4 linked regions of the Elephas maximus indicus genome follow. The protein of the gene in region 1 interacts with the protein of each later gene in a pairwise test. Links are inferred from orthologs where the notes say so. Each region holds a gene or a part of one and is shown in the gene's direction. Other genes may lie near its edges.

The links.
Region 2: the proteins of TRAF3IP1 (region 1) and GOLGA4 interact in a two-hybrid assay, tested with the Homo sapiens proteins (2 studies listed by BioGRID and IntAct). The link is inferred for Elephas maximus indicus from reciprocal best matches to the Homo sapiens genes TRAF3IP1 and GOLGA4.
Region 3: the proteins of TRAF3IP1 (region 1) and SMC4 interact in a two-hybrid assay, tested with the Homo sapiens proteins (2 studies listed by BioGRID and IntAct). The link is inferred for Elephas maximus indicus from reciprocal best matches to the Homo sapiens genes TRAF3IP1 and SMC4.
Region 4: the proteins of TRAF3IP1 (region 1) and IFT20 interact in a two-hybrid assay, tested with the Homo sapiens proteins (2 studies listed by IntAct). The link is inferred for Elephas maximus indicus from reciprocal best matches to the Homo sapiens genes TRAF3IP1 and IFT20.

The regions. Positions count from the first base shown.
Region 1 is NC_064824.1:140,402,473-140,410,413, forward strand, and holds the start of TRAF3IP1 (TRAF3-interacting protein 1), read left to right. Parts: upstream 1-4,933; 5' UTR 4,934-4,960; coding exon 4,961-5,083; intron 5,084-7,941.
Region 2 is NC_064845.1:2,971,605-2,979,451, reverse strand, and holds the start of GOLGA4 (golgin subfamily A member 4), read left to right. Parts: upstream 1-4,835; 5' UTR 4,836-5,137; coding exon 5,138-5,209; intron 5,210-7,847. UniProt on the Homo sapiens protein: Involved in vesicular trafficking at the Golgi apparatus level. May play a role in delivery of transport vesicles containing GPI-linked proteins from the trans-Golgi network through its interaction with MACF1. Involved in endosome-to-Golgi trafficking.
Region 3 is NC_064841.1:323,250-330,236, reverse strand, and holds the start of SMC4 (structural maintenance of chromosomes protein 4), read left to right. Parts: upstream 1-3,982; 5' UTR 3,983-4,388; intron 4,389-5,792; 5' UTR 5,793-5,797; coding exon 5,798-5,933; intron 5,934-6,363; coding exon 6,364-6,542; intron 6,543-6,987. UniProt on the Homo sapiens protein: Central component of the condensin complex, a complex required for conversion of interphase chromatin into mitotic-like condense chromosomes.
Region 4 is NC_064837.1:23,671,453-23,679,344, forward strand, and holds the start of IFT20 (intraflagellar transport protein 20 homolog), read left to right. Parts: upstream 1-4,883; 5' UTR 4,884-5,048; intron 5,049-7,892. Other genes in the region: TNFAIP1 (BTB/POZ domain-containing adapter for CUL3-mediated RhoA degradation protein 2), read right to left, coding at 1-162, 772-976. UniProt on the Homo sapiens protein: Part of intraflagellar transport (IFT) particles involved in ciliary process assembly. May play a role in the trafficking of ciliary membrane proteins from the Golgi complex to the cilium.

The DNA.
Region 1 (7,941 bases):
ACAGGTGGTAAAGGCTGCAGCAGATGACAGATAATTTGACTGTGGATCCAGGGAGGGCTCCCTAGTCCTGGTAAACCCGTCTCATCAACGATCCTATCAGAAGGTTGTATGTTAATGGGCACCTGGGACTCTGTTTTCCAAGAAGCCATCTCAATATTGCAGTTCTCCTTACGTGGGAGTCTCCTCTGACAACTTAATTTTCAACTTTTGTTTCTGATTTTAAAAGCTATGATTTATTGAGAAATAAATTGAAGAGAAATGGAGCAGGCAGCCAGGGAAAGGGTGTTGTCATCACATTCTGGACAGACAAAAAGATGATGGGTGTTGGAGTTCACTGCAAGTACTGTCCTTGTAAGCTCCAGGATCTACCTTGGAAGGTCATTTCAATGTCCAGTCATCAGCCTGGGAAGATGGCGGAGAGAGACGTAAGTCTCAGTGTCCCAACACCCTCAATTACTCAAGGTTGATGATTATTGCGGAGTACTGTCTTCCATCGGTTGCTCTCTTGGACCCAGAAAATGCTGTTGCCACCATCACCTCTGGCTTGGACCACTGCAATAGCTTCCTAACTCGTCTTTCTGTTTCCTACCTCTGAGAGTCTGTCCTCAACAACATATGCGTTGAAAACATAAGCCAGCTCTCTCACCTCACTCAGTAAAAGCCAAAGTCCTTACCTCAGTCTACAAGGGCTGCATGGACAGACCTTCCCTCCTCTATTCTCTCTCTGTCACTCATTTCTCTCCAGCCACATGGGTGTCCCTCCTTCTCCAACATCCCTGGCTTCTCAGCATTCTTTGAGCTGGTTTTAACATCTTACTAGTTTCCTCATGAATTCAATGAATTGAATAAAATCTTTCACAAGTGGTCATTTTATATTTGCAGGAGAGTCCTGACTCTACCTTTTGGAAAATTACACTTCGATCATTTTGGAGTTTCCCCTGAGATGCCCAGCTGTACTCCCCTGCCTAGCCAAGTAACCTGTGGTGCCAGAGAAGTGCACCTCGTGGGCCATTTAAACCTGGGCACCTCTTGGTTCCTGGAGAGAACCCAAGCAGCAAAAGAACTTTAACTTCACTGATTCTCTTTTTTTTTCCTACTGCTTTTGTGTTTTTTGTTTTTATTTCTGTTTCACTCCTGGCCAATAAGTCATTTATCATTGGTGGCACTATGATGGGGATTTGGTCCTGTGATCTGACCATTTAGTGTTATTTGCTGTGTAGATGGTGGAGACCAATCTTCTGTGGGTGACAAACGGCAGAGAATCCACATTGCTGCTCTTGTTGGTTTGCCTGCTTGTCTATTTGTGAGTCAAATCAATGAAGATTTCATGCCCACTGGGTGGGAGGACAGCTATTTGAGATCTGGACTGCTGGGTTTTTGTGTTTATTTTTGATCTATGGATGAAGCTGAAGGGCTGAAGTTATAAGTCCTCTATGTGTCCGTGTGTCTGTTCAGAAAGGTTGTTCTCTCTCATGTGAGTATAAAACAAAATATTTCCCTACATTTGTTGTTGCTGTCATTAGGTGTTGTTGAGTCGCATTGGACTCATAGCGACCCTGTGCACAACAGAAGGAAACGTCGCACGATCCTGCGCCACCCTCACAATCGTTGTTATGCTTGAGCCCATTGTTGCAGCTACTGTGTCAATCCATCTCCTGAGGGTCTTCTCTTTGTCACTGACCCTCTACTTTACCAAGCATGATGTCCTTCTCCAGGGACTGGTCCCTCCTGATAACACGTTCAAAGTACGTAAGACAAAGTCTCCTCATCCTTGCTTGAATCTGGTGCCTGGAAGGCCCAGTTTGAGACAGCACTGCTAGCAGCAGAGCCCTAGAACACATTGCATTGGAGGTAAGCTTGGACCATGGTCACTTTTGGGCCGGCAGCTAAACCTGCACCTGCCCCACCCTCAGCTAGACAGACAGTGAGAGTGAGCTCGGGGCCCCTGTCTTCTTGCACTGTTGGCACCTGAGGCAAAGTCTGGTGCAGGTGTGTGCGTGATTGGTGGACCCAGGTCACATGACATGCCCCGGTGCAAGGCTGGCTGGGACAATAATCCTTTCCATTCTCAGCTCCCAAAATGGGAAGCAGTCTCACCCCCTCAAGACTCATAAAATAGACATTTTCCAGTCATAGAATGGGGCTTAGGGGCTGCGTGGGCAGGGACAGTATCAGCTATAGCCAAGCTATAGCCTCCTGAGAGCTGGTTGCTGAAGCTACGAGAACATTTCTCAGGCTTTAAATACCCTGGCCTTTATAATAACAACAACAATAAAATTTGCTCTGTGTGCCTGGGGTCAGAGTGGAGACTGGTCAACAGGAGTGTGGTTAGGGGCTCCCTGAAAACATCTGGGGTTCCTCTGCACCTCCCGGTGCGGGCTCACTGGGTCCCCACCTTAGCAGTGGGCTGGGCCTGCGTTGGTGGGCAAACAAGCGGGTCCCCCGGCTCCGCTTACCTGTTTGCAGCATTTACAATGGCTCTGTCGTCAAAGTCTGGATGCCCCGCAAGGTGCTTCGTGAGGCAGAACTTACACCCCTCCCTGCAAGAGAAGCTGCTACAAGCACAGCTTAAAAATTTTTGGGAAAATGACATAGATTGCTCAAAGGCCTTTTGTGGGGAGAGGATGGGATCAAAACCCCCAACCCTTTTCTGCAAGGTGTGAAGTATGGAAATCCCCAGGGAAGGGCCTGGTGGGAGGAAGGGCAGGGCATCTCCCTAGGCTTGAATAATAACTTCCAGTGTGATTGTTTGCTGTGTGTGTTTCCTCCAGCCTACGCCAGACAGAAAGGGAGATTCAGGGATGGCCACACAGACACTCGAAGGGCGGCGACCTGATTTGTACCCCAAAGCTGGATGCAGCAGGCACAGGAGATGGTTCCCACCTGTGGGAGAAATTGGCTCCGAGGGGCTTCCAGGCCCCAGTGAACAGGCGTTTGTTTGCTGCCACAGCTGGGGTGGCCAGATGTAGCAAACAAAAGCACAAGATGCCCAGTTAAGCTTGAAGTTCAAATAAAGAAGGAATAAATTTTTAGTATAAATCCTATTATCAAGTAGATTCCAACTTATAGCGACCCTGTAGGTCAGAGTAGAACTGCCCAATAGAATTTCAGGTAATTTTTATAGAAGCAGACTGCCACAGCTTTCTCTCCTGGAGCCACCGGTGGATTTGAACCACTGACCTTTTGGTTAAAGCCCTCAATTAGCAGCTGAGCCGCCAGGGCTCCAAATTTTTAGTATAAGTATATCCTAAACAGGATATACTTATACTAACAAATTATTTGATGTTTGTCTGGGTTTTCAGTTTAACCAGTTGTCCCGTATTTTCTCTGGCAACCCTAGCAGTAACTCTCTGCTGCTCTTGCGGGTCCAGGGCTGGCGAGGTGGCCACTCTTTCCCCGTGCCTGGTCCCTGCTGCCCAGCGTTCCCTGAAGCTGACCCATATCCTGGGCCCTGGGCAGATGAGGAGCTCAGGGTTGGGCTAAGCCAGTCTCCTCAGGCCTTTGTCTCTGGGAATGTTTGCCTCCCTGTCGGGTGGGCTTGGGGAGGCAAGGCCTGGAGACAAGGCTTCGTGGGGCTCTCTCTCCCTGTCTGAGTCATGGCCATGGTTGTTTCATGCATTCAGTCAGAAACTGTTGATTTCCAAAGCCTCCCCTGCCAGGCTTTTATTTGTCAAACACATTCTGTCTGTGTTTTTCTACAGTCATCCAGCTGATTCTCTTTTTTATGAATAACTTGTTTTTATATTCTCAGCCTTTTTCCTCAGTGCTTTCATGGTTCTTTGAGGAGCTTGGGAGGTAATTTAGGCTAGGCAGCCCTCCCAGCCAGCCCCTCCCTCTGGCCCCCACTGAGTACTGGTTCCGGGTGTCTTTCTTGCATCTGGGGTCCTTGGCTGCCTCTTCTCAGCCTTGCCTGTGCCCTCTTGTGTGGAGGAGTGGACTCACGTAGGACGACGCAGTGGACAGCAGGGCCTGGAGCGAATCTGTGCTCCCAGAGGATGGTCCACTCCCTGGTCAATCCCCGTCAGTCTCTCCGAGGGGTCTGGTGCTCTGCTCTTTTGTCCTGGATGCTGCTAGTGTCTCTCAGACACCTTGATGCCTGGATACGCCTCAGCTGCGGGTCTCTGATAGCCATGAGTGCCAAAGTGGGCAGTCAGGCCTGTGCCCTCGGTGCACAGCAGGGCCTCCATGGGGTCTCCCTGCCTAGGTCATTCCCTTTGCACCATCCTGGGTGGAGTCCCTGGGTGGTGCAAACGTTAAGCGCTCAGCTGCTAACTGGAAGGTTGGAGGTTGGAGTTCCCCCAGTGGTGTCTCTGAAGAAAGGCCTGGCGATCTCCTTCTGAAGAGTCGGCCATTGAAAGCCCTAGAGAGCACAGTTCTACTCTGACACACACACGGGGTCCCCATGGGTTGGAGTCAGCTTGATGGTAACTGGTTTGATTTCGATCCTGGGGGGTAGGTAAGGCAGACAGTCACATTATCGTCCCTGTTTTACGGAAACAAATGGCGTCTCAGAGAAAGCAAGTTACCTGTCCGAAAAGCCACAGTAAGTGACAGATGGACGAGGGCATTTTTCTTCCGTGTCTTTTGGGATACTTCAGTCCAGCCCCTCCCATGAACCTGCCTACGAGCGCCCGTGCCTTTTGTGAGACAGACAACACGGATCCCGGAGAACACGCTGTTCCCGGACAGGCCCCCCTGGCGGCTTCCCCGCGCGGGTCCAGCGGGCGGGGCGGCGGCGCGTCGGTTGCTAAGGCCGCGCTGCCCTAGCGACGGAGGGCGCGACGCGCACGCGCAGTGGCGGCCGCCGTGCACTGTGGGACGGAAGCCGGGCGGCGCGGCGAGGCGGGCCGGGAGCGGGGCCGGGAGCGGGGCCTGGGCCGGGAGCGCGGCCGGGGCGGCGGGCCGGGGCCGGGGGCCGGGAGCGGGGCTCGGGCCGGGCGGGCCTCGCGCGGGCGCCGCCATGAACGCGGCGGTGGTGAGGCGGACGCAGGACGCGCTGGGCAAGGTGATCCGGAGGCCGCCGCTGACGGAGAAGCTGCTGAGCAAGCCCCCGTTCCGCTACCTGCACGACATCATCACGGAGGTGGGCGCCGGGTCGGGGTCGGGGTCGGGGTGCGGATCCGGGTAGGGGTCGGGGTGCGGGGTGCGGGGCAGGGCCGGGGTGCGGACCGGGGTCGGGGTGCGGATCCGGGGTCGGGGGGCTGGGGTGGGGGGTGCGGGTCGGGGTCGGGGTGCGGATCCGGGTAGGGGTCGGGGTGCGGGGTGCGGGGCAGGGCCGGGGTGCGGACCGGGGTCGGGGTGCGGATCCGGGGTCGGGGGGCTGGGGTGGGGGGTGCGGGTCGGGGTCGGGGTGCGGACCGGGGTGGGGGATGCGGGCCGGGGTCAGCGTGCTGGCCGGGGTCGGGGTGCAGGCCGGGGTCAGCGTGCTGGCCGGGATCGGGTGCGGACTGGGAGCCGGGGGGCTGGGGTGGGGGTGCGGGTCGGAGTCGATGCCGGGGCGCGGCCAGGGGTCGGGTCGGGCCTCGGGTGCGGACCGGAGTGCAGTTTGCGGCCGGGGATCGGCGCCTGGGCTGGGGGTCGAGGTCAGGGCGAGTGGTTGGGGTTGGAGTCAGGGCCGAGGTTGCGGGCTGGAGATGCGAGTCGGGGCTCGGCCCGGGGCTGGGTGGCAGCGGGCGCCTGGCGTTGCTCTGCGGGGCTCCTGCCCGCGGAGACCGGCCTTTGGCCTGGCCTGCAGCGGGGGGCGGCCACTGGGCCTAAGCTGTTGTTAGCCTTCTGCGAGAGTTGCTGCCCTCGCCCCTGCTCTCCTCTTACCCATCCTCCCGGCCCCTTGGGGAGCACTCTGCTTTCCTGCCTACCGGTGTCTAGTTAGGGCTGGTCCTCCACGCTTGTCTCGGTGATTCCCCTCCCCTGCTCGGGAGGGGCCTGCTGCCTTCCTCCTGGGGTCCTGCAAGGCCTTGCACGTGGAAAGTGCTCAGTAAACCTTGAGAAAATGGAGTTCTTTTTCTAGGTGCCCGTCGACAGTGCAAGGCAAAGCAGTCACCACATTTTGCAAGCTTAGTAAATACCTGCTGGTGAATTTATTGGAGGTGGTCGTAGGGAGGCCTGAAAGGAAAAACTAGTGGAGGAATTTACTGCTTGGTGATAAGTCTGCTTTAAGTAGATACTGGCTGGCTGTGTACCTTTTCGTGCTGTGGTTGTCATCATGGTTAGTTGCCTTGAAGTTGGCTCCGACTCGTGGCAACCTCGTGTACAACACAATAGAATGTTGCCTGGTCCTGTGCCATCTTCGTGACCAATGGTATGTATGTCCAAGTCCACTGTTGAGTATTTTAAGTGCCTTCCAGCTCAGGGGGCTCATCTTCCAGCATTGTATCAGACAATATTTTGTTGTGATCTACAGGATTTTCTTTGTCTAATTTCGGACGTAGGTGGCCAGGCCTTTCTTCCTAGTCTTAGTCTGGAGGTTCTGCTGAAACCTGTCCACCGTGGGTGACCCTGCTAGTATTTAAAACACTGGTGGCATAGCTTCCAGCATCATAGCAATGCACAAGCCACTGCAGTACAACAAACTGACAGGTGGGGGTGGTTTTCCCCTCTTGATTGTCAGTTCCTGAACCACGGAGACTGGAACTTCTCTGTTGGCATATCCTGGGTGAGCTGCCACGAGTAAGGTACAGTACACAGAGGCTGTGCAGCAAACATTGGCTCGTTGAATGGAATTGGTCAAGGCTCCTAGTAACCCTTGGGGGAGGGTGTATGTGGGGGCTGGCAGCGCCTGTTTCCAGGGTGGACTTGTGGGCAGACATTGGACGAGGGTGTGCTCCTTGGGAATCAGGAGTCAGGTTGTACTTGGGGGCTTTTAGCCCTTATCCCCGGGCCTGTTGGTCCTCTCGCTTTTCTTCTCCCTCACTCCCACTGCTTGGTCACCTTACTCTTCCCCAGACTTTGCATTGCCATCTCGCCTTTGCTGATCACGTGTGCCTCCCAGGAGTGCCTCATTTAAAAACCCTACAGTGCCTAAAACCTCTCTCAGATCCTAACCAACCCCAAGTGCTGCCTGCATTGGTCTCCTCCTCTGCTCAGCCGGTGCTTCTCTCCCAGCCTGTCCTGCACTTTGCGTTGAGAGTTGGGTGGGAGCATGCTGTGTCCCGGTTGCCCTGTGTCGCCCTCAGCCGAGGGGCAGCAAGTAGGGGTGAGCCAGGTGTGAGCCGGCAGCACGGACAATACTGCGGGTGCCTCTGGTCTACCCTTTCATCCTCCGTGTTGGTCTGTCTCCCCAACAAAAATGTAGCCCCGAAGAAGGGCGGCAGAGGGCCTGTCAGGGCTGCCACGTGCTCAGTACACTGCGGGTTCCTGAACCTCTCTGGTGTGACTGGAGCATCCTAATGGGAAACGAGAGCAGAAGAATTCCGAGAAGAATTGACTGGTTGGCGAGGTGGACACGTTGTGTGGAAGAAGCAAGGTGTTCTGAATCAGGACTGACTGGTCTGCTTTGTCTTCTACGTGCTCGGTAGAGTAGAGGGTCAGCGAAAAAGAGGAAGACCCTCGATGAGATGGCTTGACACAGCGGCTGCAACAGTGGGCTCAAGCATAACAATTGTGATCATGGCACAGGACCAGGCAGTGTTTTGTTCTGTGGTACATAGGTTGCTATGAGTTGGAACTGTCTTGATGGCACCTAACAACCACAACAACGAGGTGGGGACGAGTGTTTGCACTCCACTGCTAACCTAAAGGTTAGCAGTTTGAACCCACCTAGCAATACCATGGAAGAAAGGCCTGGCGATCTGCTTCCATTGAGATTACAGCCAAGAAAATCCTGTGGAGCACAGTTCTACTCTGTCACCATGAGTCAGAACTGACTCGATGGCAACGGGTTTTTTTTTTTTTTTTTTTAAGTATCGAAAACGATTTCTCTACTTGGGTAAAAATATATATGCT
Region 2 (7,847 bases), on another chromosome or scaffold:
ATACATTTAGGATTGTTAAATCTTCTTGAGGAGTTGACCCTTTTATAGGTTTGAAATGGCCCTCTTTATCCTTAACACTCTTTGTCTTGAAGTCTACTTTATTTGATAGTAATATAGCGATAGCAGCCCTACGAGTCTGGCTTGCTCAGTGCAGTGGCTTCTCTAGCCCACTGCCCACACGTGGTAGTGTTGGCCGGGATGACTGAGCCTGCTCTGTGCCGTCCTGAGCTGAAGGAGGCTGCCTTGTACAGCATCGCGTACACCTGGCTCCTCTCCTCTGTTCCCCAAGTTCCAACAAATCTCAGAGTCTGTCACGGGGAAACTTGATTGTGACACATCATATATCTTTTTCTGTGCTTTTACTATCAGTCTATCTTTACATTTAAATTGCATCTTTTATAAACAGCATAAAGTTGGATCTTACTTTTTATCCACTATGACCACCTCTGCCTTTTAACTAGAATGTTTAATGAATTTACGTTTAATGTAATTTTGACGTGGTTGGGTTTTAGTCTACCATCTTGCTATTTGTTTTCTATTTGGCCCATTTATTTTTTCTTTCCTCAATTGCTGCCTTCGTTTGAATTACTTGACTATTTTCTCTATTAAATTTAATACCCTCTATTGGCTTTCTGGAAACCCTGGAGGTGTAGTGGTTAACTGCTACGGCTGCTAACCAAAGGGTCAGCAGTTTGAATCTGCCAGGCGCTCCTTGGAAACTCTACGGGGCGGTTCTGCTCTGTCCTATAGGGTCGCTATGAGTCGGAATCTACTCGATGGCACTAGGTTCGGTATTGGCTTTCTAGCTATATATTTTGTGTTATCATATTTAAGTGGTTGTTCTAGGCATTACAATATGCATAGTAACTTACCACAGTCTCACTTGTATTAGTTATTATACCACTTCCCCCACGATGGAAGTCTTTAGAACACTTTACTGCCACACCCACTTCTTGGCCTTTGTGCTACCTTTGTTTGTTACAAACCCAACAATGTGGGGTTATTATTTTTGCCTTAAATAGTCATTTGGATTTTAGAGAAATGTATTATCTGCATTATCTCTGGTATCATTTCTTTTCAGCCTCAATAACTTTAGCATTTCTTGTAGTACAAGTTTGTTGGCATTTTTTTGTTTGTTTCAACATTTTAAGGATGCCATTCTATGCAGTCATTTTTGTTGTTGTTGTTCTGTATACAGTATCTCTTTTTTTATCTCCCTGCTTTTTAAGGTCTTCTGGACACTGGGAACAATAGAGACATACTCGCAACTGTCAAGACAGACTTTGAGGAGACAAGTGCGCAGTGCGGAGTCTGCCGTGGAACCTACTGCTGGGATCTCAGTTCCCACGTACTGACTAGAACGGACAATCCTGACGTAAATTGAGAAAAGCAAGATATGGACTATATACAACGCATTTTTAATAAAACATAAATATATTTGTATACAAGTATATAAATTTATGTGCCTATTTTCATAAATGAAAGACTAAAATCAAAATATAAACTGAATTATTAATAGAAGTTATTTGGGGGATAAGATTACACTTTTGTTTGACTTTGTTACAATAAGTATATATATTACTTTTGTATTAATAAAAAGATAAACACAGAAGGTGATACATGCATTGACGGCATGTAAGAACGAGGCTGTACACAGACGAGCATGGTGGACTCCACTCGTGTGTGTATGTGTGTGTGGGGGGGGGGGGAGTGGTCACAGAAAGCCTGTAAGAGGAGATGAGATATGAAGGGCAGAGAGTTAAGACTCAGGTTACAACCTAGCCTTGAGCTGAATTTGTTCTAAAGAAGTGTTTTGTATAAAGGATCCCTGGGTGGTGCCAAGGGTTAAGCGCTTGACTGCTGGTCACAAGGTTAGGGGTTTGAACCCACCCAGAGGCACCACAGAAGACAGGCCCAGGCCAGGTGATTTGCTTCTGAAAGGTCATAGCCTTGAAAACCCTATGGAGCAGTTCTACTCTGCACACATGGGGTCACCATGAGTCGGAATTGACTTGATGGCAACTAACAACAATGATAAATATATGTATAAATATAAAACTGTCAACCTGTGATGTATAATTGTGAATGCTGGGGTGAGAATGCCTATTGGGCATCTGAAGTCTGAAAGAAGCCTATGGGACTTTATAGTCTGTTGAGAGATTGTTGCTGTGTGCCGTTGAGCCAATCCTACTCATAGTGACCCTATATGACACAGTAGAACTGCCTTGTCGGGTTTCCTAGGCTGAAACCTAGAAGCAGATCACCAAGTCTTTTCTCTTGCAGAGTGGCTGGTGGGTTTCACCCACTGACCTTTTTTTTTTTTTTTTTTTTACTAGTCAAGGGCTTAAGCATTGCACCTTGTTAAAACATTAGGCTCCTAAAAAAGGAAACACTCTCTTGGTAATTACATGGGTGTTGATTGTACGGGAGGACTTAATCCAGACGTCAGGGCAGTGTCCCCATCAGGCCCCTGCAGTGCAATAGGCTTCTCTTTATATATGGCCTTTCTGGTCCTGGGTTTGTAGTTCTGCCAAGATTATTCGCTAGGCCACAATCTTGCAAAGAGATTGGACAATGTACTATGCAAATAAGATGTATAAAACCCTTGTGGAGATTGGTCAATTGCTAAGCAAATTAGCTGACTATGGACTACAGAGGGGATTTGTCAGTTTGTGGTCTTGGTAGGGGCAGTAGGCTTATAAAAGGGCTAATCCCACAGGGACTGAGAGGAACCTCACTATCATAAAGATAGAGAGCTTGACACTGGAGATGGCCGTCTTGCACTGGCAAGAGATGGCGTGGCAGCAGCAGGAGCCACTGCAGTGAGATGGCTGGAAACTGGAGACCAGTGTGAGATGGCTGTGGTGGGGTGCCTCAGGGCACTTGTCGGCTGAGCTAAAGAACTGTAACACTTGCAAAAGCAGGCAGAGGCTGAGAGGAGGCCAGGCCAGCAAGGAACCACGAGCTGTCTTGGAAACAGTCCTGGTCCCCTCCTACATTGTTCCTGTTACTTCCAAGTTAATCCTGTTCTTGAATGGCAGCCTGTTACTTCTCTAATACACCACATAATGGTGAGTATGATCTGTGAGTTCTGTGCGGCCACTGCAACAAATTATGGAACCCAGGAGAGAAGCAGAGAGGGTGGGGGGAGGGTAGTGGCAGCTGGTGTCAGAACTGGTGAAAAGACTGGAGGGTGGAGATATGTCTGACCTCCAACACACAGGAATCAAAGGAATCAGCCTGGGGCCGATGGTGATTCCTTATCCTCCCTGAAGTTAGAGGACCTATGATGCTAGCTTACAGCCCTGCTCCAGCTGTGACATGCTTAGTGATTAGGCTCTGCAGTCTTAAACAACAGTTTGTGTATATGAATGTTGGTAAATAAAATCTGTTAAAATGAGAAGACAGTCTACGCTGTCAGGTTCTGATACCTGAGGCAATGTGAAGCAGTTTCAGATGATGCCAAAGGTGTAGCACGCACAAGCAGGTCGCTGAGGTGGATTTGAGAGTTCACCTATGAACAAAAGCTCAAGGTGTTGGATGAATTAAGCACACAAACATTAGAAAGTCTTAAAATGATAGCAGGTGTTAAGAGTAAATTTGAACTCTTTGGGAACCCGTGTCTTCCACGAGGCTATGCGTTTCTTTTATGGGCAGGAATATTGTTTTACTAAGTGTACCATCTCCAGGGTACTGGCATTTAGAAACAAAGGTTGTTGTGTGAATACATGAAAATACACAATTTCAGTGAATGAAAAACTAAAGGCAGGTGACAGGAAGATCCGTGTCTTACTTTATTGGCGTGCAACATCTGGGCCTTGGGAGCCTATCTCAAGGCACTTTCCCTAAAGTCTCCAGGGAAGGGAAGAACCCCTTCCTCCCCCGCCACCGAGCAGTCAGAATATTGGGCACTAAATATATAGAATCCTAATACAAATGAGGAGCCCTGGTGGCACAGCGGTTTAGCGCTTGGCTGCTAAGCCAAAGCTCAGTGGTTTTAAGCAAAGATGTCACTTTGAGGACTAAGGTGCGCCTGACCCAAGCCATGGCCTGTGAAAGCTGGACAAGGAATAAGGAACACCTAAGAATGATGCCTTTGAATTACGGTGTTGGCGAAGAATGTTGACTATTCCACAGATCGCCAAAACAACGAGCAGATCTGTCCTAGAAGTACAGCCAGAATGCGCCTTAGAAGCGAGGATGGCGAGACTTGGTCTCATGTACTCTGGCCATGTTATCAGGAGGGACCAGCTCCTGGAGAAGGGCATCATGCTTGGAAGAGGGCCAGCAAAAAAGAGGGAGACCCTCAACGAGATGGACTGACGCGGGCTGCAAGAATGGGCTCAAAGTGACCACCACTGTGAGGATGGCGCAGGACCAGGCATGGAGCGACGGCGCTTCACAGGGATCAGAAGTACTGAACAAAACTACATTATCCTTTAGGGGCCACCTCAGGCCCCCGCAGTTCCACCCTTCTCCCAGCCTGGACGCCGTTCTCCGCTGGGGGGCCTGGCACCCTCTCCGCCTGACTTCGCAGCGTCGAGGCGCAGCTAAGCGACGGGCCAGGGATCCCAGCAGGAGCCCAGCTAGTCCCCGGAGAAACCTCCAGCCAGCGCCGCCCCCCAGCGCGCATGTGCGGGCGCCTTGTCCCCTGCGGCCCCCCGTAGGGCCCCGTCAGCGCGCATGTGCGGCCGCCGTAGGGTCCCGTCAGCGCGCATGTGCGGGAGCCTTGTCCCCTGCGGCCCCCCGTAGGGCCCCGTCAGCGCGCATGTGCAGCCCCCCCCTCCCAGGGTCCCGTCAGCGCGCATGTGCGGGAGCCTTGTCCTCTACGGCCCCCCGTAGGGCCCCGTCGCGAGCTCCACGTCGGCCGCGCAGGCGCCCTGGGCGCACCGTTCACCTGCTGCCGTTGTCGCCGCCGCCGCCGGGGCTGGATGGGGGGCCGAGGCCGGCCGGTGGCACCCGGGAGGAAGAGACGCGGCGGCGGCGACGCCGACACCTGTGGGACGAGCGTCCCGCCCTGCCTGCGAGCCCAGGGAGGAGGCGGCGAGGCCCGGCCCCCGCAGCCCCTGGTGTAGAGAGGTGACTCCCCGGCGCGCACCCTCAGGTCTCGTTCACGCTCGGGACCCCGCGCTGCGCCATGTTCAAGAAACTGAAGCAGAAGATCAGCGAGGAGCAGCAGCAGCTGCAGCAGGCGCTGGCTCCGCCTCAGGTACGATGGCCGCCGCTCTCCTTCCCTGGTGCCCGACGCCCCTTGACCTGGCTCGGGGGTGAGAGGGAGGGCAGCTCCGTCCTGATCCCTGACCCTGATCCTAGGACCTCCCCAAACCCCGGGCCGGGAGGGCGCGCACGGAGACCCGGGTCCCCTCACCCCTGAGCCCGGCGCCGCCCTCGCGGCACTCGGTCCGGGAACGAGGGGGCCGGGCCTGGGACCGGGGCTGGGGCGGGCGGGCCCGAGCTGACAGCTGAGCTCCGTCGGGGTTCCCTGATGCCCTAGGCCAGGTCCCGGCTCCCTGGACGACCCCTACCCACCCGAGGTCCCAGCTGGTGGGTGAGCGCGGAGGGGAGTCCCTTCTAATGGTTGCTCTCCGAGCCGGCGCCCCTCTGCCATCCCCGCCCCGAAGTGACCCACCGCGCGGGCGCCCTCGCCCCCGCCCCCAAGCCCGGCCGCCCTCGCCCCCAAGCCCGGCCCCGCAGGGAGGACCGGGGTCGCGCCCTCGGTCCCAGGCCCCCGGCAGGAGCGGGGACGTGGGGAGGCGGCGGTGGCGGGCGTCCAGCGGCCGAGCCGGGCACCAGGCGTCGCTGCGCGGAGCTGGGTCGAGCCCGGCGCGCCCTGAGCGCGGTGCTCCGCCTTCCGCCTCCAGCTTCCCCGCCGGCCTGCGGCCCTGCGCGCTTTGCTGCCGTCTGCGGGTGCTCCAGGCCCGAGGCTGCAGGAAGCGACCGTTTACGGGGCAGGGGGCAGCTTGGCGGCTTCGGGAAGCAGCCCCCGAAGTTGTCAGCCTACGCGTTCTGACGCGTCAGCACGTGATCTCGGAGGGTGCTGTCGGCCGGGGCGCCGTCGGCGGGGCTCCTGCCGAAGTTCCTCGAAGGCCTCCTTCACCGATTGCGCAAACCTTTCTTTCAGTTTTAGGGTTTCTGGTCGCTAGGAGTCGGAATCGACTCCACAGTAGCGAGTTTGGTGTTTGGTTTTGGTCTTTGTCTAGGAGTCCTGGTGGCGCATTGGCCCAAGCGCTCGGCTGCTAACTAAAAGGTCGGTGGTTCCAATCCACCAGCGGAGAAAGACGTGACAGTCTGCTTCCGCGAAGATGACAGCCTTGGAAACCCTAGGGGGCAGTTCTGCTTTGTCCTGTAGGGTCGCTGTGGGTCGGACTGGACTTCACAGCTGTGGGCTTGGTTTTTGGTCTTTGCCTGCTGTTACAATAAAGCATGAGTTTTGACTTAATCGGTGGCATTTTTAATAATTTTTTGACATAACATTTATTTTGTGTTGAAGCAGCTGTTGCGCTGAGTTTATTCTGAGACGAGTTGGAAAATTGTTCTCTTAAAATTTAGTTTGTGTGGACTAGAACAGTGCTTGCGAAAGACATTGCAACGTGGCACCGAAGGTCTGCTCATTCTTCCAAGTAAAGTGCAAATAGAGATCAAAACTTAAATAGTAAAGATTTTCATTTTATGTGATTTACTGTAGACTTTTTAACTTTACAGGACGCTTAAGAAAAATGAGGCAGAGATGGAGAGGGAAATGGACAGGTTAGTGAATGTAAGGCAGTTAACATTTGTAAACGTGCACGATATCACTGATCCACGATGTCACTTCTAGAAATTTATTCAAAGAAAGTAATTTAGGATGTATTAAAACACAGCTATGTAGGTTTTCATTTCAATGTTAGGTAGAAGCTTGCTAAAAATGTCCAGCAGTTCTCGAACAAACCTATCGGGTAGATAATCCCGTCCTTCCTCTTTTATCCATGGGAAAACAAGGCCCAGAGAATTGAAGTAGCTTGCCCAATGCCATTCACCCATTGTTAGAAATCACAGGAAACTTGGTAACACAGAAAGATGTTTGTGTTAGTAGCCGCACGTAAAAAGCCACATGTAACACGTGATCACAGCTTTGTGGGAAAACGTGTCTATATGTGAGTTTACATACATCCTTAGTGAAAGTATTCAGGAAGGAGATGCCCTTACGGTGCTCGTGAGCCATGAGTGTTCTGTTCCTGACCTGTAATGTTAGTTTTTTTTCATGAAAATGAATTGCTTTTTTGCAGTGGGAAGAAAGGTGCTTAGTAGTAATAACAGTAAAGGTAGTCACAGGCCAAGGTAGAACTCCCTGTTTCTTCAGTTTAGTACTGTTGCATTGGCTTATCTTTAGTGAGAGGGTCATCGGTATCAAATAAAACACTTTGTGTCCAAAGGTTAAAAATCCTCTTTGATATGTTCACATTCTTGAATATATGTGTATTTACCAAGAAGTAAAAAATAAGTTGTCAATCACCTACTGGTAGAAACTTGGTTCTGTTCTGGTCCTAGGTCCTCAGCTATTCCCAGCCCCTCAGGAAAGAAAAGTTCCGGATAATTGTTTTCAGAGAGTTAAGGATTTCTTTCAAGCACTAACTAAAAAACAAAAACAATACGAAACAACAACAACAAAAAATGCTTTTTTTTGCAACAGATTACATACATCCTTTCCTAAGCAAAGGATCTCGAATGTGTATGATATTCTCTTCTTCTGACTCGGGCATCATTTTTGAGGATAAGTTATTCTTTGTTGGAGGCACCATGCCCTCTGGATTTAATAGGGTTTGAGAGGCAGTCCCGTTTTACCCACTCCAGAGGATTGGTCTGATCCT
Region 3 (6,987 bases), on another chromosome or scaffold:
TCCTTCACTATTGCAACTCGAGGCTTGAATTTTTTCTTCACTTCTTTCAGCTTGAGAAACACTGAGCGTGTTCTTCCCTTTTGTTTTTCCATCTCCAGCTCTTTGCACGTGACATTATAATACTTTACTTTGTCTTCTCGAGAGGCCCTTTGAAATGTTCTGTTCAGTTCTTTTACTTCATCAATCTTCCTTTTGCTTTAGCTGCTCGACGCTCAATAGCAAGTTTCAGAGTCTCCTCTGACACCCATCTTGGTCTTTTCTTTCTTTCCTGTCTTTTCAGTGACCTCTTGCTTTCTTCATGGATGATGTCCTTGATGTCATCCCACAACTCGTCTGGTCTGCGGTCACTAGTGTTCAATGCGTCAAATCTATTCTTCAGATGGTCTCTAAATTCAGGTGGGATATACTCAAGGTCATATTTTGGCTCTCCTGGACATGCTCTGATTTTCTTCAGTTTTGGCTTGAACTTACATATGAGCAATTAATGGTCTGTTCCACAGTCGGCCCCTGGCCTTGTTCTGACTGATATTGAGCTTTTCCATCGTCTCTTTCCACAGATGTAGTCAATTTGATTTCTGGTTGTTCCATCTGGCGAGGTCCATGTGTATAGTCGCCATTTATGCTGATGAAAGAAGGTATTTGCAATGAAGAAGTCGTTGGTCTTGCAAAATTCTATCATTCAATCTCCGACATTGTTTCTACCACCAGGGCCATATTTTCCAACTACTGATCCTTCTTCTTTGTTTCCAACTTTCTCATTCCAATTGCCAGTAATTATCAATGCATCTTGATTGCATGTTTGATCAGCAGCTGATAAAAATTTTCTATTTTTTCATCTTTGGCCCTAGTGGTTGGTGTGTAAATTTGAATAATAGTCTTATTAACTGGTCTTCCTTGTAGGTGTATGGATATTATCCTATCACTGACAGCGTTGTACTTCAGGATAGATCTTGAAACGTTCTTTTCAATGATGAATGCAGCACCATTCCTCTTCGAGTTGTCATTCCCAGCATAGTAGACTATATGTCCGATTCAAAATGGCCAATACCAGTCCATTTCAGCTCATTAATGCCTAGGATATCGATGTTTATGCATTCCATTTCAGTTTTGACGATTTCCAATTTTCCTAGATTCATACTTTTGTACATTCCAGATTCCGATTATTAATGGATGTTTGCAGCCGTTTCTTCTCATTTTGAGTCGTGCCACATCAGCAAATGAAGGTCCTGAAAGCTTTACGCCATCCACGTCATTAAGGTCGACTCTACTTTGAGGAGGCAGCTCTTCCCCAGTCATCTTTTGAGTGCCTTCCAACCTGGGGGGCTCATCTTCCAACACTATATCAGACAATGTTCTGCTGCTATTCGTAAGGTTTTCACTAGCTAATGTTTTTCAGTACACTGCCGGGTCCTTCCTCCTAGTCTGTCTTAGTCTGGAAGCTCAGCTGAAACCTGTCCTCCATGGGTGGCCCTGCTGGTATCTGAATACCAGTGGCATAGCTTCCAGCATCACAGCAACACACAAGCCCTGACAGTACATATGACAAACTGACAGACACGTGGGGGTCTTATTCTCATAGCACATATAAATATCCAAATTAAAGTCTACCCTGTAGCTGCTTGTTACAAATGTGTTTACTTCATTATGTAGCCTGATTTAAGCCTGCTTTGAAAATATTTGTTCTTCATGGGGCGTAGTTAGATTCAAGTAAACCTAAGACCGTGGGTCAGCTTATTGATTTGTTGAAACTACGTTATTTTCTCATCAGTCACTAAGTCCTACCATATTGACAGCAATCATCAAGGGCACTAAAACTAGGATTCATTTTTAAGATTTATTTTTATTCCTACCTCTTAGTCATTAATTCAGGGATTCACATACAAAGAACAGTATCTGACTGATTTTAAATTCATACTCATCCATCAAAACCTATATAAACTATATAGATTTTTCCCCCAAAATGATTCCGGATGTTTCTCCATTCTGCTATGTTGGCAATTCTCACCTCTCACATGGAGAACTGTACAGCAATGATCTAACTAAAGTCATGACTGATTTCAGTTTCTTTCCATTAGCACATCCACGTACTACTGTTAATTATTCTTCCTATTTTCACCAAGTTGCTCCTTGGCTCAAAACTTTTCTAATAGCTCTATTTTCTTCCATATCACATCTAACATCCTTGGCCTGGTTTTCAAGACCTTCCATAAGCTACTCCTTCTCCAACTTGACATCCCATTTTTCATGTACATATCCTAACAAAGTCAACGTCATAAACATAGCAACATCAAATGCTTATAGGATGTGTGCTAGAAATTTTCTCATAAGCATTCCTATGGGATAGGTGTTAAACACTGGTTTTATATATAAATACTGAGAGATTGATAAATTGAGTAAATTGTCAAAGTATGTACCTAAAAGTGATGAGATTTGGGGTTCTAACATTTATCTATATCATATTTTTCTACTACATTGTGCTATGTTACTCATACTCATTGTGCTATGTTACTCACAACCCATGTGTGTCAGAGTAGAACTGTGCCCCATAGGGCTTTCAACGGCTCATTTTTCAGAAGCAGATTTCCAGGCCTTTCTTCCCAAGTGCTTGGTTAGCAGCCAAGTACATTAACTGTTTGCATCAATTTTACAACATTCAAAAATCCACAAGACTCTAGAGCCATCAAAGAGAACCACTAGATCTTCTTGGTATGAATACCAGCCAAAAACTTTCTCAATGAGCTTCATTTTCTGCAGTTTGTGTTATGAAAACGATGATTATTTTTTCAACTGCAAACATAAATGCATATTATAATAACTAGTTATTGTTTATTCAAACCACACCAGCCTCCCAACCCCAGCAAATTATTACACTTGGAGAACGTGTCCTCCTCACCCCTGAACCTGACTGTGTGCTCCTTCAGGGCAGGAGCCATTACATGTTTAGAGTGACAATGTAAATTCATTCATAAACCAGATTTATTGCTTTTAATAAACGAGGCTCTAAGGTAGGCCCTAAGTATGCAAAAGGTTAAAAAAAAAAAAAAAAGACTCCCAGTCCTCAATGTCGAGTACATAAGAGTCCTGGGTAAATCCTTACTGGAGGTCGTCAAATTAACCAGTGGTTTTGTTTGTTTAACACCGAGGGGGCCTAGAGGCACGTTTGAGAATGCGAAGAAAGTACTGGGAAAACTAACCCCCCAGAAAAACGTACAAACACACAGAATTTTGTATAACATGACAAAGGGGTTATGAATTGTTCCGAAGCCAAATCGCCTACCACTGGATACAAAGACCCCGGTTAAAAACCCCAAAAGAAAACTCAGTTCTCTGGGGACAGGAATTCTCCTACTTGCTTGACAATCCTGATTTTGTCTTGCACGGTGCCATGTATACAGTAGCCCCTTAATGTTTGCCGATCGATAAAAATAACCAAATGACACTAGCAAATTGCTTCTTCCGTTGCGGAGCCCTTTTGTCAAATAATTTGAAAAGCCCGAAACTCCCTTTCACTAATAACATTAATGACCTAACCCCAATAACTCGACAGTCATTACCTTGCTATTCCCACATGGCGTACACGAGCAACCACTAATCCAGGCTCTCCTCTTCTCCTGGCGCCCCCCGCCCCCCAAACTCTGGGCTCCTCGGTACCCCAAAAGCTACGCCCAAAGCCCCTGTACCCCAGGGAGACAGACTGTAACAGGTGCTCCGTGCCACACGCACCCTCAAAGCAGGAAAGGTGCTGGCTACAACGAGGAGCCCTTTCCTGGCCGCGTCCGGAGCTGACGAGATTTACCTCAGGTCCCAGTGAAGCGGAGGAGACTGGCCTCACAGAGCCTGGGCAGTCACCATAGTGACGTCTCCCAGCAACGCTCCCCGCCTTCCCGCGATACTTCCCCCCGCACCGCACGGCGCGTCACGGAGCCGAGCCGAGGCCCCGCCCCGCAGCGCGCCCGCCCGCTCCTCAGGGGGCGTCGTTGGACGTTGAGCCTCGCCTTCAGCTGTGGGCGGAACCCGACTCTATTTTTTTTTTCTCTTTTTCAAAAACCGCCACGTTTTTTAAATGTGGTGTTTATAATAGTGCTGCTGCTACTGGCCGCTGGGTAAACATTCCCTTCTCCTCCGTTTTCACTTAGGACGAACGTCCCCTACCGCCCGGGGTCCGCCCGGAGTTTGCGCTTGCGCAAGAATGACCAGAAGATGGCGGCGGTAATCGCCGCACTTTTTTTCAAATTAGTGGATCCCAGAAAGCATTGCGCGCGTTTGTAACGAATTTCCGTTCGAGTTTGTATTTTAGGCGCCATTTTCGAGTGAAGCACCCGGAGCCGAGACACCGGCAGGAGCGCGGTGGGCTCCGCAACCGTCTCCAACCTTGGACTGGCCCGCAGGTAAAGTACTTCCTTTCCCGGCCGGGTGGTCGGATCCTTGGCTGCCGAGCGGCCCGGGGCGCCCGGAGAGCAGAGGCCGGGAGCCGGACCGCGGAGCCGGTCCCGAGGCTCCGCCGAGCGGCTTCCCCGCTGTCACCCCTCCCCCCCCGGCCGCTCCCGCGGTCCGGGCCCCGCGCGCTTCTCCCGAGCGCGGCGCTCAGCTCCGCGGGCGTCCCCTGGGCGGGCTGCCGCCTGGCCGGCCGCTTCTGCGGGGAAAGCCGTGCCCCCGGCCCGAGCCCGGCCCTCCGGGCGCCCCCGAGGGACTGGCGGCCGCCTCTGAGCCTTCGCTGGCGACCCTTCCCGGCTGACTTCCGTCTAACGGCGCTCGGCCGCGGGCCGTCCTGAGGAGGGAATCGCCGCCGCCGACCCAGCCCTCGGCCGCCCTTTCGGGGTCGCGCGGGGAGGGGAGACGGCGAAGCCCCCGAGCGGCCCGCGGCGGCGAGGGGCTCCCTCCTGGGTGGCCTGGGAGGGCCGGCGGCCGCTCGGGGCCGAGGCGCGCTGCTGCCTACGCCGGAGAGCGGGCACGTCCGTCGGCGTCGGCTGCGTGTGGGGTCGGGTCGTCGGCGAGTTAGTTTGTGCGGCTACACTGGGGGCGCCCCGGGGCCGAGGGTCCCGAAAAACCTGGAGGGTTAACTGGCTGGTTCCCGGGCACGTCTGGGCTTCCCCACCTGCCCAGGTCTTCCTGAGAAAACCATCCCGCCTTCCTGCCCTTCGGTTTTATTGTGGCTTCTTCCCCGACGGAGTTGGGGGTCGGGGAGCGGCGGGCTGGGGGTATGAGGTCGGGGAGCGGGGGTCGGGGGTCGGGCAGCGGCAGGCTGGGAGTATGAGGTCGGAGAGCGGCGGGCGGGGTATGGGGTCGGGGAGCGGGGGGCTGGGGTCGGGGGTCGGGCAGCGGCGGGCGGGGTATGGGGTCGGGGAGCGGCGGGCGGGCTATGGGGTCGGGGAGCGGCGGGCGGGCTATGGGGTCGGGCAGCGGCGGGCGGGGTATGGGGTCGGGGAGCGGCGGGCGGGCTATGGGGTCGGGGAGCGGCGGGCGGGCTATGGGGTCGGGGAGCGGCGGGCGGGCTATGGGGTCGGGGAGCGGCGGGCGGGCTATGGGGTCGGGGAGCGGCGGGCGGGCTATGGGGTCGGGGAGCGGGGGGTACGAGGTCGGGGAGCGGCGGGCGGGGTATGGGGTCAGGGCTGGGGGCGGCGGGCGGGGGGTACGAGGTCGGGGAGCGGCGCGCGGGGTACGAGGTCGGGGAGCGGCGGGCGGGGTGTGGGCTCAGGGCCGGGGCGGTGGGAGCGGGGCGGGGGGCCGAGCCGGCCCGCCTGGAGGAGGCCGCCCCCGCCGCGGGCTGACTGGCTCGGGCTCTCCCCGCCCAGCCACCATGCCCCGCAAAGGCGCCCAGCCCTCCACCGCCCGGCGCGGAGAGGAGCCGCCGCGGTCCCCGGCCGACGCCAGCCCCGACGCCGAGCCCGAGCCGCCGTCCGGCCGCGCCGAGAGCCCGAGCTCCTCCGCCGCGGGTGAGTGCGGGGCCCCGGGACGGGCGGGCGTCGGGGGTCGGGGGTCGGGGCCGGGCCGTCGACGGCCGGGAAAGCCGCTCCGGCGCGGCGGGGACGGGGCGAGCGCGTAGCTCGGCGTGGGAGCCGGTTGGTGGCGGCGCGGACGCCCGTCCCTGGCGCGGCGGAAGTCGGCACGGCCGGCCGAGGGCCGGTGGCCGTTCGCGGGCGGCGCCGGTGCCTGGTCTGTGACCCCGCGGGCACGTCGCGGGCCCTCGGCGCGGCCGCGTGGCCTGAGGCACCTGTGGCAGAAGGAAGGAGGCGCGCGGCCCGGAGTCCGGGGCTGAGGCGCGCGGGGAGCCTCCCTGGGCTCAGGTGGAAAGGCGGGGTGCCGCGCCCCGAGGTCGGCTCCCTGCGCTAAGGGAGGCCCCCTGCCTTGCCTCCGCCGACCTAGAAGCGCCCGGGGAGGACCTCGACAGCCGAAGTTTAGAAGAAATCCTGGGCAGCGTCCCTCCGCCGCCGCCTCCGGCGATGACCAATGAAGCCGGCGCTCCCAGGCTGATGATAACGCACATCGTGAACCAGAACTTCAAATCCTACGCCGGGGAGAAAATTCTGGGACCTTTTCACAAGGTATGTGCCCCTCTTATGTAACTGCTGTTAGCGGAGGTATCAGTTCTTACATGATCTTTCCAGTGTTTTTAACTGTTTATTCTGAGCCACGCTGAGTGATGTGTTTATCGTGTATGTGCATAGATAAATATCGAGTGTTTCTCATGCTTCAATATCTGAAACTAGCTTTTGTTTATCTGGATATCTTTAATACCTCATTCCATATAAAGTTTCTTCACTAAGAAGAATTGATTAGTTTTTTGTTTGAAAGGAGTGTTTTCCTTAACTACAAAAATGAATTTCGTAAAAAAAAAAAAAAGTGGGTTACAGTTAGAATATGGTCTCTAGGTGTGAAAGCTTGTGAGAGAGGAAAACACTTTAAAAAAAAACTTAAAAGTTGAAGTTGGGTGTCTTCAAGCAATGAAAGCTTGTAAACGTGTGTAGTTTTACTTCAGATAAAAAAATT
Region 4 (7,892 bases), on another chromosome or scaffold:
CACTCTGGCACATGTTCACCAGCCCCTGAATGAGGTAATACTTTGCTTCAGCCATCAGTTCCCTGATCTCTTGCCGATTTTGAGGCAGAGTGATGGTGTCATCTCGGAGGTAATTCAAAATGGTGCCAAAGTGCTTTCCACATCGATCTATGAGGATCCAGCCTAGGGATTCAGACCAGAGTTTAAGACCCAGAGAATTACTGTTTTCCTCCAGGTGTCTCAGAAACAAGCATGAGGCAAAAGGTCACTGGGTGGATCTGGTGGCAGGTGGCAAGAAAAGGAGTTACACGAACATAGGGCCCACGGCACAGTGGTGACAGAAGTGGGACCAGAACTTCCAGCTCTCAGGTTCATGGCTGCTCTTCACCCCTCCACCCTGCAACCAAGAACCGACACCTGCTGTGGGAGACACAGCCCTCCAGGCTCTGCTGAAGCCCCAGAGGTCCAAGCTCAGGAGCACTTAGGCCCACCTCTTGCAACACAGAAACCATCAGGCCCTGCTTTTCTCCTGCCCACTGCCTGGGCACTACTGCGATGGTTCTTAGGACTATAAAACAAGTATGGATCTTCTCCCTGGAAAAATGCATAAATGCACAACATTCTATATACAATTTCAAAGGATTCTGAAGCTTACAAAGGACTCCAGGTGAAGAAGTCCTATGGTAGGTGAGTTGAGACTCTAGATCTGCCAGGCTTAAGCCCCGCCCCGAAGTCACTTTTCAGGAACTCCTCCTTTTCTCTCCACCCGCTCAACAAGCCTTGATGCCTCACCTTCTTTGTCCGTCAGCACCTCCATGCGCCCACTGAACATGGCCTTGAGCATGGTGTCATGCCGAGTTAGTGCCCTCACGGTGGTGTAGTACAGGGAGCCACCTACATTGAGCTGGACGTACTTGTTGCCCAAGCTTCCACCCTTGAAGCTGCTTAGCTTGGGTTTGGCCCCTGAGGCTGGGCACAGACAGGTATCCCCCGACATCTCCCGCTGCAGGTAGATTACCACACGGCAGGAGGTAGGCTTGGAAGGCTCCACCGTGGTGGAAGGGGTCACGGGTGAGTGGCCAGTGGAGACCAGAGCCTCATACTCTCAGTTCTGTGGGCAAAAGATGTGAGAGAAGACAGGAGTCAGCAGAGTAGAGCCTGCAAACCAGAAGGGACAACAGTAGAAACACTGACCAGTCCAAGTACTCCCTGGCAGAGGCCAACTTCCTGGGCAACAGTAAGAAAGACTTCCCTGATGTTCTTTACTGTCCCAGGAACCATGCTTGGAGCACAGTTTCTCAGAGCCTGGCTCTGGTCACCTCACCAAGCGAGAGTTGAGTCAGCCTCCAGGAGACTCAGCTCAGCTCTGGGCAGCAAGAAAGAAAAGCAAGTCCTTGGAACTGGTCAGAGAGGGTCTGAGGAACAGACTGACAGCAGAGATCCTCATCCTGTGGAATCTGCCAGTCAGACTTGCTGTTATTCTGAGTTCCCAGGATCTCCGACTTCCAGCCAAACCTACTGGGAATGCAGCCTGCCTAGGAGTTTTCCAGAAGCCAGAGGGACAGGATGCACTTCCTTCCTACCAGATTCCATAAGCAGAAGCAGCCAGCACCAGTGCTTAGTCTGAGTGCCACCTGGGGTCTGGTTCCAGGAAGGAAAGTGAAAGCAGCTTTAGGAGAGAAAGAAGGCAGTGAGGCAGGTGGGAGGGTGCTGGCACACTGCTCTTGGCAGAGGTACCCTGGCTCCTGCTGGGGGCTCCTGACCTTCCCATTTCTTGACACCAGTCTTATCCCAAGTTCATGAAATTATCACTGTTTTTCAGGGTAGATCAACTACAGGATGGCTGTTTTCTTTTTTTTTCCTGAGAGGGGGCCCAGCCCTATCTTTCCCTCTCTTCCCTCTCAACAAGAAAAGGGCCACAAAAGACCAGAAGATAAATCTAAAAACAATTACGTGACTTGGAAATTGAAACTCTAACAGGAGTTCATAGGAGGGAGGAGCAAGGAAAGAAAAGGAGAGCAAAGCCAGGTCACCCCTTATGATTTAGATAATATATATACATATATATATATATACATTTTTTTTTGCTTTCTAAAAAATCAATAAAATTCATTCGCTGGAGGAAAAATGGTAATATTTGTTGCATGTTTACTATATGCCAGGTATAATTCTAAGCATTTAATACATATTAAACCCTAAAACCAAACCTGTTGCCGTCGTGCAAGTCAAACTCATAGTGGCCCTATAGGACAGAGTAGAATCGCCCCATAGGGTTTCAAAGGCTATAATCTTTACGGAAGCAAACTGCCACATGTTTCTTCCACGGAGTGGCTGATAGGTTTGAACTGCTGACCTTTTGGTTAGCAGCTGAGTGCTTTAACCACTGTGCCACCAGGCCTCCATTTAATTAACTTAGGAAAAAAAAACAACCACCACCACCAATAACAAATCCTACCTTTTGCAGTGGAGCCCTGGTGGCACAATGGTTAAGAGCTGGGCTGCTAACCAAAAGGTAGGCAATTCAAATCTACCAGCTGCTCCTTGGAAACCCTATGGGGCAGTTCTACTCTGTCCTTTAGTGTTGCTAAGAGTTGGAACTGACTTGACAGCAATGGGTTTGGTTTGGTATTTTTATGTTATGCAGCAGGGACAGAAAGATGAAGAGATTGTCATTTCCTTCAAGAAGTTGCAAGAAGCATCATAATGTCAGCAAGAATAAAATGAGAGCATTTATTGTGCCCCTACTATGAGCCAAGCCTATGAATACAGAAGAGAACAAACAAGTCATGTCCTCGCGGAGCTTACATGTTTGCATGTGTGTGTTTGTGTGTGTGTGTGTGTAACTGACAATAAACAAAAAACTAACAAATAAGCAGACAATTTTAGAAGGTGATAAATGCAAAAAAGATAATAAAACAGTGATAAGGGAAAAGCACTAATTTAAATAAGTGGCCAGGAAACTCTTTTTCGGGAAGGTGACATTTAAGCTGAGATCTGAAAGAGCATTCCAGACAGATAGAAGAATAAATGCAAAGCCTCTCAGCTAGAAACAAGTTGGACAAAAAGAAACAAGGTTAAAATGGCTGATGCACAGAAAAAAGAAGGAAGTTGGTTGAATGTAAGATCAGGAAAGGCAGGCATGAGAGTTTGGATTTTAACTGCAATGGGAATCCACAGGAGGGTTTGAAGCAGGGGAGTGAGATGATGTGGTTATGTTCTGAAAAGATCATTTTGGCTCCTGTGGAGAGAATGGATTGTAAGAATGTGAGAGAGGAAGTGGGAAGACCAGAGGAAGCAGTAGTCTAGGTAAGAGATGATGATGGCTTGGACTACCACTGTAGTAACAGAGACAGAAAAAGAGGAATTACCTCATTTAATCCTCACAACATGCAGCTTACAGTTGCTCATCGTTCCTTGTAAATGCAAACCGGTAACAGTGCCCTGGTTTCAGTTTACTGTTTTGCTCTGCAAACAATGCTTAGCACGATGCCATGCCTATTTTAAGTATTTAATATATGTTGGTTTGTTAAGACTTAAGCTGTCCCAGAAAGGATTTCTGTAGATCCCTGGGAAGAATGTGCAAGGACAGGCCAGAGCAGGTGCTGTATGAAGTACTGAATTCCTTTGTGGGTTGGTCCGGGAGGCTCTTCAATTTGCCTCAGCGATGGGACGTTGAGGAGCTGGGCCCTCACCCACAATCTGTCCAATCGGCAAGTAACAAATGGCAGGAGATCACCTTACTTCCCTAGCCCAACCCAAAGAAATAAACCCACCCCTTAACAAGTTTTAATAAGTTCCCCTTGTATTGTCTGTTGTGTCTAGACCCAGCGTTCCCAGGACCAAAGAAAGTACACATACATGTTCTGCCAAAGCAAAGGAACACTAAAGCTAAACTAGTCAACAGAGAAAGACAAAAGTCTTTGTCCAGAGCTAACCCATTCCCTTCCCTACAAAAGCAACTGCTTTGGGCCCATGAATGACGTCAGTTCAGATGCCGCCCAAACCAATGGATTCCAGGAATCCTGCGGCAGGTAACGCCCAGAAGGGAATTCCAGGGAGGTGAAGTTTCCTGCGACACCCTCAGTGCTCTTCCTTCCGGACTTTGTGTGTGGATTATTTGGGGGCGCCTTTTTTTTTTTTTTCGGGCTAGAGGCGTATCCGTGTCTCACTCAGTGAAGATTAAGGGATTCAAGCAGAATAAAGGATAAACAGCCACCGCGAATACGGTGGGAGAAGGTGGGGTCCTGAGGAATAAGGAGCAAGAAATTCGTCACACAAGGGATGGTGAGGAAAGCCAATCTTGGCAGGAGACAACGGCTTTAGGAGAAATCCTAGGTGTGAATCTTAGCCTTTATTCAAAGGGTCCTGGTGAAATTTAGCGAGCCCCAACATCTATGGGAGCCACTGTGGAGTCTTCCCCAGCCCGTACTCCTTCTCACTACCGAGACCAGTCCTGACGCCCATCCCCAGAGGAGGATTTGAGCTCTCCATCTCTCCTACGCCGTCCCTCCCCTCTCCCCCAATACCGAGCGGGCCCGTCTCTGCTCCAGCCCCTGCTCTCACCTTCCCCAGGGGCGCCGCTCCCTTCTCTCAGCTGGGTCTCTAGCAGGCTCCTGGACCGCGGCCGCCTGCCCGCCCGCAATCCCCGAGCGTGAGCTCACATCCTCCGCCCGCCGACTCCGCCCGGAGCCGCGGCCCAGCCCTGCAGTCGGGGAGCCCGAGACTACAAGGCCCGGCATGCCCAGCACGGTATCGCGGGGTAGAGGGCCGGCCCCTCCGAGTATTCTGCGGTGAGACCACAGCTACTTCCGGCAACCCGGCCAGCGCAGAGGCCTCTGGGTCTTGTAGGCAGTCATCCTTACCCTCAGGCCTCCGTTTCCCAGCAGGCTCTGTGGGGGTGGGCGGCTGTAAGTGTTTCCGGTGTCAGGTAGGGACGTCACCGGTAAACAGGCCCTGTAGCCGTGGCAGCGGCCGAGGCCGGCAGGTGGGCAGAGTACCGCTGACCCGCGAGCGAAAGTGCCGCAGACATCAGCCTGGACCGCAGCGCGCCACCGTTACGGGGCCTGCAGGTAGGCCATGACTGCGGGTCGAAGAATGCGTGCTCGGCTTCGTGCCCCCGAGGCTGGGGGCAGAGCCGGGCGGGCCCGGGGCGAGATGAACTTGACAGACCCGTGCCCGGAGGCTGTCCCGGGCCAAAAGTGACGGGGGAATTCAGCCCGACTTTTTTTTCCTTTTTTTTTTTTTTCCTTTGGGAGTTGTGTTTACACCCGGCTTAGGCCAGGAGCTTCCTACGCGTTCATGCGCGCAGTGATTTTACGAGGAAACTGGTTCAGATAAGTTCCAAGAGTTTACGTAGTTAGCACAGAGCCAGCTCCATCGCCCAGGTCTTCCAAACTTTCTGCCCAGTGCGCCTTCCTTCACACCCCACGGATGGTGTTCACTGTTGTGCCTAGCATGGCTCTGGGAGGACGGGGGGGGAGAGGGGTGAGGGGGGCACAGAGAGTGTCACAGCATCTATTTGGAGGGAAGTCAGCCCCCGCTATTTACCCTGTGTTCCCCAGATGCAGACATGGCGTGTGTGGTAGGAGTGAGGAGAGAATCTGGTAGTTGGCTGTGAACCCTCTCCCTACACTGCTTCTCTGGTCTTATCCATCTCATTAACTATCCCGTCCAGCCATTCCGTTGACTCAAGATAGAGACCTGGAAATCACGCCTCTTTCCTTCATTCACCTCCCAGCCACCACATTCAGTCAATCCATTGCCAAGTCCAATGGACTCAACTTACAAAATATCTCAAATCAGAACGCTTTTTGTAATTTCCAAGCCTTGGTTACTGTAATAGCCTACTACCTGTTCCCACAGTCATTCATGCCACAAACATTTACTGAGTGCCAATTATGTCAAGGCCCCATGTGCTCGGGCTACAGGTTTGAACAAGGTGGTGTAGCCAGCCCCGCCCTCTTGTTCTCCCCGATCCATTCTTCATCCTGACCCAGAGTTATACAGTGAAACCTGTGAAAGCCGGAACTCGACGGGACTGCATTGTTGTTCTGGGTCTCTGCCTTTGAAAGGGTGTAGTCTTGCTACTTTTTTATCGCTTATTTTAGTGGAAAATATTTGAGTTTTCCTTCTCTAACAGGTTTCTGCCTTACATTGGTTCCAGCTTTTGCAGGTTTTACTGTATTTCTAAAATGCAAGTCTGATTATGCCACCTTGCTGAGAATCCCCTGGCTGCCCATTACCCTTAAGATAAAATCCAAGTTCATCACTGTGGCTTTCACAGCCCTCCATGATCCAACTCTAGCCTTGCTATCTAGCCTCATCCTGTCCACTCTTCCTCTTGCTCATGGTGTTTCAGTCACAGTGGCCTTTCAGTTCTTGGACTGCCTCAGGTTTCTTACAGCCTCAAAATCTTCATACACGCTGTTGTTTCTGCCTGGACTGCCTCCCTTTCCCCTTCACTTGATAAACTTTTGGACATCCTTAGGTCTCAGCTTAAGTTTCGCTTTTTCGGAGAGGCCTTATGCTGACACCCTTTCCCCATATGAATTATGTCCTCCTGCTACACCTTCACATAGCTCTGTGTGACTTTCCTCATATTGTTATTATGATTTGTGATTATTTGTTTATTGTCTGTCCAGAGGTCAGTAGCTAAAGGATTTTGTTCACTACTTGATCCCCAGAGCAAGGACTCAGTAGATATTTCTGAATGAATGCATAGTCCCTGGGGAAGAGGTGCAGTGTATCAGGACAACCAGGAAGACAAATCTTTTTAAAAAGCCTGATTATAAGTAATCTTGGTATGATTAAATGTTTCAAAGGAAGATGCTACCTTACTTACTTCAGTGGATTCTAGTGAGGCCAAAGGCTCTGGGACAGAGTCATACACAAGCAGCCCATAGACATACATTAGTTGGCCCACACAGTGTTGTGTGGTTTTGTTTTTTTCCCCTTACTTTAGACACCAACACTTAAAAGTCAGATTTCATATAAAAATCCGTATTTCTGGTCCCTTGAAAATCGGAAGTGCTGGCAACAGTGGGGCTTTCTTTTCCAACCGTTGCTCCTCTTGTGGAGCCCCTGCCCCCGGCAGTCACCATCAGAATCACCCCTTCAGAACAGAACGTCTCTCAGGAAGCTAGAAGGGAACCCAGTGAGGCTGGGGGAGGTGGGAGCAGAGGGAAGGGTCTGTCGCAGGGGCAGGTGATGGCAGCCTTTGGAATACCTGGGTTTTTGGAATTGGCATAGCAGCCAGTGGAAACCCTGGCGGCATAGTGGGTAAGAGCTAGGGCTGCTAACCAAAGGGTCAGCAGTTCAAATCCATGAGGTGCTCCTTGGAAACTCTATGGGGCAGTTCTACTCGGTCCTATAGGGTTGCTAAGTCAGAATTGACTTGACGGCAACAGGTTTGGTTTATAGCAGGCAATGACTAGAATTAAGTAGTATTGCCTCCTTTTCTAGACAGGGCATGCACTGTTTCTGTTCGTTTTTTGCCTGTTTCTTAAGCCAGAACAAGGGTGAGTTTTACGTGTTTCTTCTCCCATGATTGACACATCCTTTAGCCAAAAATGTGAGGAGACCTGGGAAGACAGACACTATCTCTGTTGGTTCTCTGTTGCCTACAGAGAAAAAAAAAAATCCAAACTCCTTAGCTTAGCGTACAGTCTCATCCAGATTTGGCTCCAACCCAGCTTCTTTTCCATCCTCTTTCCCTTTATCCTCTGGGCAGGACAGGCCCTCTCGGTGACTTCAGACCTTTGTCCACTCTGCTTTCTCTGCTTGGGATGCCTTTCCCTGGCCGCCTCTGTGGTACACTCTTGCTGATTCTTCATTCCTTTTTGTGTTTCCTGCTAGCCAGGATGACCCACATTTGGGTTCTACTTCAGGCAAGTGTACAGTACCCTATAGTATAG